Yarrowia lipolytica: one gene and its partner. The protein of the gene in region 1 purifies or fractionates together with the protein of each later gene. This does not show direct contact. Links are inferred from orthologs where the notes say so. Each region holds a gene or a part of one and is shown on either strand. Other genes may lie near its edges.

Region 1 (3,930 bases):
CTCAGCTTGGTGTCTGATTGTCCATACTCCACGTAAATGTTCGGATGGTGGGTTTGGGCCCGATCGTTGGAGCTAATGTATTCATGGTAGTTGAAGAAGGATGTCATAGGTCATGGTTGAGGACACAGCTTCGTTTGAAGATTGGCGACCCGTGGATAGACGTGCAGAAGGTGCTGTAGTTGGTGCTGTAGTGTCGGCAGTTAATGTCATCCGGCGTCCGTGGATGTGCATTCTCCAGAGCTGGGCGGGTGCATCAACTTAAAAGAGGGAACCCATACTTACAAGTATATTAAGTACCTGCTGATGGGGAGCAAAACACTCCCAAGTTGTGAGAAATACAGCCAGTGAAAAAATCTAGAAAATAAATAAATATATTATTGAAAACCTCGGTTATATACATCGTTGCATAAAATCAACTCAGACGAGCACTGAGGGCCAACAGAGATGTGCTTTCAGTTGCTGCGAAGAACTCCAAGGCATCTTTGAACACCTTGCAGCTATGGCTGAAGTTGGTGTCTGTGGTTTTGACAAGTCTATTCATCCGCTCTACCAGCGTGTCGTTGGGGATAGTGGCTCCGTTTCTATCATACACAGGTTGCAGTCGGCTTCGTTCGAAATCGGACAAATGAGACGGGTCTACGATCTCAAGGAAGTGACTTCGAGCCTGAATGGTGTTCACGAAGAACCGGATGTACCCGAAGATCTTCTGCTGCACCCGGATGAGCTTTTCGTTAGTAAGCATGCACTCCTTCAGGCAAGTGTCCAAGAAGGTGATGTGGTCAGCAATGAGTTCATCCACATTTGAAGCAGACTTGAACTTCTCCTGTAGTCGCTTCCAGTTGGGCTCGATGACCTCAGCAGTGCAATGGTAGAGAAGTTGTTTCACAAACTCCACCATCTTGATTCGAAGAATGTTTGAAAAAGCCTTCCACTTGTGGAGTCTCTCGTCGCTCGTAGGGTAGCGCCAGTGTCGAGATTTGGCCATTTCAAGCCACACGATACTGAGGAGTCGCTCAAGGTTCTTCAGCTCGGCAAGATGACGAAAGAGTATCTGATATCGAATCAGAGCACGTCTGGAGATGACGAGAGAGAGAGGGAAGGGGACCTTGAAGTCTAGCTGAAAAGCACACGAAACAGGCATGTCATCCATGGACATCTTTCTAGAGTCGCTTTCCCAGCCAGATTCGTTGGGATCAGTGGCACACACAATCTGCAAAAGATAGTCCCAGACTGTTGTTGGTGCCAGGGAAGCAACCACGTCGTCCTTGTATTGGTCAGTGCTAGTGATTGAACCAGGCTGCCGTAGACATAGATCCAGAAGGTACTGCAACTTTGTCACAGAGGACTGGCTAGCCGGGCGAGCAAGCTCAGTCCAGGCAATGTCCTGGAAGTTGATGTAGTAATCAGCACGGTCCAGAAAGAAATAATGCTTCAAAGATGCAAGACGGTCGAACAGGTTATGAGATGAGAGCAGAAGGGATAATAGGGCTCTGTTGGACTCATCACTGGCAGATGCAATGCTGGGCACTAACGCCGGGTCTTGGATGGACTCCCAGTTAACAGCTGCGTCCTTCGAGGTGTCTCCTCCTCCACACTCACGCACAATGTTGAGATACTTGCCAGCCAAAAGGACCTTCTCGAGGAGATTCGATTGGGACAAGAGTAGGGGTAACTCGTCCTTGCGCACAGAGTACCGTTGTTCCCAGTACTCATCGTATGCACCCTCGTTTCCAGTAGCAAGGTCTCCGTTCTCTTGGATGCAGAACTCTCCGTAAGGATCCAGAATTACACCCTGGTAAATCCACCGCGATAACATTTGAAGGTATGGCTTGGATGCATCGTTGAGTAGTCTGGTGAGAAGTTGGTTCGCTGTTGGGTCGCCAGAATGTGCATTTAGTCTCTCTGCAATCACCTTCAATGTGATTCCTCCTCGACACATACTCGAACCATTAAGAGAGATTCCGTAACCTCGAGTGTCGATTTCCACGCTGTTCTCACGGAACTTGGCAAGAAGTGCATCCAGGTCATTGCTCGGCTCCAAGGTGGCATTATGGAAACGCACCTCATCCTCCCTGAGGATATCCTTGGCGAGCTCATGGGTCTCATGTAAGATACCTCCGATTGTCATCAATTTTAAATGGAACTTGTGAAGTGTCAAGCCGGATTCAAATCTGAGGGAATATTCAAGTCCTTGTGCCAGCTTGACGTACTCCTTGAGCAGCTTCCGGATAGAGGCTGCCAGGGCACCATTGACCAATCCTCTTCTGTCGCGGGTCATTTTGTCAACAAAAGCCGACAATGACACGTATGTGCTCGCGATCTTGATGCACGCTCGTGTAAAATCCTTGAAAGAGGGATCCAACCCTCTGGCAGTTCTGTAATCAGGACCTTTGAGTCGATCGAGCTCAAGTCGGGGGTTGTAAGAGTCACTGTAGTTGATGTATACACCTTCGTGGCCCATAAGAACATTAAGCAGATCCTCCATTACCAGAACCTCCTGAACATCCAGAGCGTATGTCTCAATATTTCTTGGTCGAGGGGTGTTTCTTGTCACCTCTGAACACTTTGGTTGAGGCATGAGTCTGCACGCCAACAGTGGCAGAGAGGTGCTAGGGTTAAGAGACACCTTTGGAACATACAGAGGAGCCTCTTGCTGTGGATGAGAAGAGTGAGAGCGGATATGTTGAGTTGTAGTTGTCGTTGTGATGGTACTCTTCTTGGTCTTGATACCACTAAGGCCCTGGTCATGGCCTTGGCCTTGCCTTGGGTCGTCCACTTCCATTTGATAAATCGACCGTTATTAATCAGATTGGCGTAGAGAATAATCGAGAAGCACCTTTCCCGGTTGTAGAAAAGAAGCCTGAGACCCAGCCGAATTGTGTCCTGTCGCGTTCGCGTTTGTTTATTTTAGGTTGGGTGTACGTACTGTAGCTACTGTACAAAGACATACAGTACGAGTGTACTTGTAGCTTGTAGTAAGGAGCGGTACGAGTACAAGTACATACTGTACCGGTGATGTGAAGATTTAGGGAACATTGAAAAACATCGTGGACGTACAAGTTTTTTTTTTTTTTTCTGCATATACATTCATTTAATTATAACTTTTATAAATATGTGTTTCATGGCTTCAGCAAGTATCATAAAAAAGTTTACCAGCGATTACTTCAGTTACTGGTGCACTTACCATGAAAAGTCACGTAATCGGTCGATGGACGTTGTCGTTTGCTGACTAATAATGTTGATGATATCTCAGTAAGGTCAATATGTATATATATATCATAATCAATTGTTCTCTCACTACTTCGAAGTTTTTTAATTAATTACAATACCGTCTCCTTATCGTGGTTCATGTTCCCTTGTGGCGATTTCGGGTCATCCAAGTAAGCTTCCATACTCCCCAACTTCGCATCACAGTTTATTGCCACCATCATCACCACAACACAGCATGTTCCTTACAAGAAGTGAATACGACCGAGGAGTGAGCACGTTCTCTCCCGAAGGCCGACTTTTCCAGGTCGAGTACTCTCTCGAGGCTATCAAAGTAAGTATTCAATGTGCAGATGTTGCACAATTACGACAATAGTGATGACGGGTTCATAATGAGGACATGGGTGTTTGAGCTCAGCCAGAAGCAGCAACCGCATCATCGGTTATTTGGCCATCTTAATGGAACGATCAGTATGAGCTATCGACTCAGAAGTGCGATTGTATCATTAATCTGGTGGTATTGGCGATCTATCGTCGTTGTGTCGCCACTTTTACCTAATCACACCCACTCACCCGTGTGCCATCAAGCAAGATAGGTCCATCCCAAATAACACCAACTAACATAGCTCGGATCCACAGCCATTGGTGTCGCCACCAAGGATGGTGTCGTTCTCGGAGTCGAGAAGCGAATCACCTCTTCCCTGCTTGAGGCATCATCCATCG
Region 2 (3,490 bases), on another chromosome or scaffold:
ACAGGTTGAGAACTTGAGCATTGAACTTGCACAGCTCCCAAAGACCAGAAAGGCACCTCAACAAAACAGAGAGAGCATCTTCTGTTGGAAGAGTCTCGACGGAATGACCAGACAAAACCTGAGTGACCGATTGACAAGATTGGAGAAGGAAAAGAACAACCTCGGGACCTGGAAAACATACAAAGACTCCATGCCGTTCCAAGAGACCGACTGTGGGTTTCTGTTACTCAAGGGGATCCGAATCCATCCGGAGGGACCTTTCGGAATCGTAGTGGCAAAGAGAGCAATGGTGGAGATCGTTAGAGGAATGATGGAGATTTTCAGAGCAATGATGAAAATCTTCAGAACAATGATGGAGATTGTCAGAGCAATGGAGAGCCCTGTGGTACTCGTTGATGACGATTTCCCAGACATGGAAGACAGGCAGATCATGATATGTAGTGAAGGTAACTAGTTGGAGTCAGTTGAATGAAATAATAGTCACAAAAAAGGTGTTTGTACCGATAGTTGACCAGATATAGATCGTACTTGAATTCTGTGCAACTGCGTCATTCATTGGGATCAAATTCAGACGAGTTCAGTTTTTTTTCTTCTCTATCAGAAGCTCAACAAAAACTACAAACAAACCCAATAATTATCCCAACTATTACTTAAAATAAACAACTCCTAACTACCCCCGGTTAGAAACCCAGCCTTCTACTCATATTAATCACTGTCGGAGGTGATATCATGAAAATCATTTTATTCCTAACCACATTTTACCAATGCCACTGTCCATTTACTCCCCCAAAGGCTCCAACGCCTTGTATTCCTCAACGACACCATTGACCACCTCGCGGGCCTCGTCAAACTCGCCAAGTCCATCGCTGAACATTTCCTCCTTTCTATACTGATCCAAGAACGCGTGTCTTCGATACAACTTGTCAAACTGGTCCATGGTTCGCTTGAACACAGATGTGATAGATGTGTGGTTAGCCAGAGACAGACCCGAAACACGCGACTTGGACGTGGGAATGTATGGAGACCGTCTGGTAAGAGAAATCTGCAGAGAGGCAGGAGTGGAGGGAATGAACGGCGCGAGGTTTCGTTCTCGGATTCGTAACAGAGCCTTGTGGACATCTGTAGGGTCAATATCTTCGCCCTGAATGATATTAAGCAGAGCAACGTATCGAGACTGTCTAGAAACAGAGCCAGATACCATTCTGTTCTTGGGCTGTAGTAGTCGTCTCATGATATCAAGGACTGTGGTCTTTCGGACAGCAAAAGACCCTCCAGAAGGATTGGCGTCCAAAACGTCGGCTGAAAACGGAGTGTAGGCCGTAGACAGGAAATGCAGTCGAGGAAAGGGCACCAGAGACGCCAAAATACACGCCAGATCATTGTGCATGTATCCTGGGTATCTCAATGTGCTTGTAGAGGCGCTCATGACGCTTGCCACCAGCTGGTTCGTCTGATCAAAGGTCGGCGATTGCACTCTCAGAGCCTCCGCCGTAATGTTTCCCAGCGCTCCATTGTCCAAAACCACCACCGAGTCTGCATACTCAGCCAGTCGTCTCAGAGTCAGCATACTGTTATAGGGCTGCACAACCACGTCGGAGACCTGGGACGAGCTCGGGAACACGCTATACGTCTGAATCAGTTTTTTGGGGTACCGGTCGTGGATCTGTTCCAGCAGAAACGAGCCCATTCCGCTACCTGTTCCTCCTGCGATACTGTGGAGCAGCATGAACCCTTCCAACGAGTCCGATCCGTCTGCTTCTCGATCCAGCATGTCTAACAATGTGTCTGCCATCTTGGCTGCCGCCGAATAGCCACAGGCGAAAATGTTGCCTGCTCCAGAGCCGTCGGCGCTCATGTACACGTTTTCGGGGTTGTAGATTCGCGCATAAGGGGACTCCAGAGCGGTGGAGTTGATGACACGTGGCTCCAAGTCCAGTAGCAGCGTTCGAGGAACATAGCGAGTGTCATCAGCTTGGTAGAAGAAGACCTCTTTGCGGTCTACCACGTTAGTGGAGGTGTTGGTAGTCGGAGAAAACGTGCCGTCCGGCGAAATGCCGTGCTCGCGGCACAATTGCTCCCAAAAACGCGCGCCAATCTGGTTGCCGCACTGGCCTGCCTGGATGGTAATGATTTCCCGTGGCATCTGAGTGTCTGAGACGAGTTTGGGGCCGTGATGTGAAGTGATAAGACAAGTGGTGCGTGTACTTTTAAACTTTACGCTGATACAACTTTATGGGGAAATATAGGAGAGAAGTAGGGGGCATTGTGAAGAGTGATGAGAGACGTTTACGAGAAAAGTGACTAGTTTGAGATCATATTTCGGGTGTATTATACATTCTGTAAAAATCCCCCAAGCTCTAGCTATAAAACTGACCATTCTAGAGAAGGATATGTTTGTTGACTAAAGTGAAGTAAATATAGGTTATTTTGTTGGATGGTTAGTTTGGATTGGAGAAATTATGTCAACTTTACAAATACTACTCGGACCGGGACAAAAATTGTACTGTGAGTAAACCAGACCCTTTTGAATCTAATAAAACACTTTTCTTTTTATGTCGAACCTCTCCTTGTCGTTATCCTGACTTCATCACGCGATGGCGATGTTTGCATCATCCTAAGGTGGAGTAGTCACCAACTTCATCAGTAATGGTCTTGAGAGGTTGATTTTTGTACCACGAGAATCAGTGCATCTTTCTGATTCAAACGGTATCATTATTTTTGTCACACGCTGGATATCAAGCCTTTCGTGTGTGTGTTCCGGCACTACTTACCTACTACGGTTACAACACCACAGTCTAGCGAACTAGGTATAAACCTCACGCGATAAGTGTTCGATGAGTGCTTGTGCCTATTAATGTCCTGTTCCCCTGCGTCAATTTTCCCCTTGACGATTTGCCCAACTTTTTCCCTCTGCAAAACACATACAACCCTGGATTAGACAGTATAATCAAGTCTCACAATCGCGAAACCACTTTGACCCCGTTTAGGAGTGGCACGTGACCTTGACACAAGTGTACGTGATCTACACGAGTGTGTCTGTTTCCGGTATCTCTTCTTTTGGACGTCTTTTGCACTGATTTGCACCCTTTGGCAAGGAGTCTATTCTACATGCGAGGGATCTTCCGAATGTTCAGAGAGGTGACGTAATTGGGCAAGTAGAGAGGATTGGAGGGTAGTAGAGTAGAGAGTATTGGTTGGTAATGTGGGGGATAGAGGTAGCGAGGTGTATTACTACTATCTTTGAGCACCAAGGAGGTACCCTGTCGCCAGACACAGTTTTGCCTGTACTGTACTGATGTGCTTGTACAAAGTGTTTTGTCTCGGGTGTATGCCGACCAAGATAGATCTACAGGTGCAGACGAGGATCTACGCACAAGCCTGAAGAACCTCTCTTCACCCCTTGGCTCGATCGTGGGCGAGGCCGGAAGTTAGGTTGCTGGGGAGGTGCGTGAGAGCAGCAGCTCATGACGTCATGAAAACAGAGGATATG

The links.
Region 2: the proteins of YALI1_E03449g (region 1) and YALI1_B09448g purify together in Schizosaccharomyces pombe (affinity purification with western blotting; 3 studies listed by BioGRID, with this or other methods). This does not show direct contact. The link is inferred for Yarrowia lipolytica from reciprocal best matches to the Schizosaccharomyces pombe genes alp4 and gtb1.

What each region holds. Positions count from the first base shown.
Region 1 is NC_090774.1:343,816-347,745, reverse strand, and holds YALI1_E03449g (uncharacterized protein), read right to left. Parts: upstream 2,783-3,930; coding exon 413-2,782; downstream 1-412. Other genes in the region: YALI1_E03476g (uncharacterized protein), read right to left, coding at 1-107; YALI1_E03439g (uncharacterized protein), read left to right, coding at 3,446-3,541, 3,834-3,930. UniProt on the Schizosaccharomyces pombe protein: Component of the gamma tubule complex that is required for the regulation of both interphase microtubules and mitotic bipolar spindles.
Region 2 is NC_090771.1:942,750-946,239, forward strand, and holds YALI1_B09448g (uncharacterized protein), read right to left. Parts: upstream 2,144-3,490; coding exon 779-2,143; downstream 1-778. Other genes in the region: YALI1_B09426g (uncharacterized protein), read left to right, coding at 1-454. UniProt on the Schizosaccharomyces pombe protein: Tubulin is the major constituent of microtubules. The gamma chain is found at microtubule organizing centers (MTOC) such as the spindle poles or the centrosome, suggesting that it is involved in the minus-end nucleation of microtubule assembly.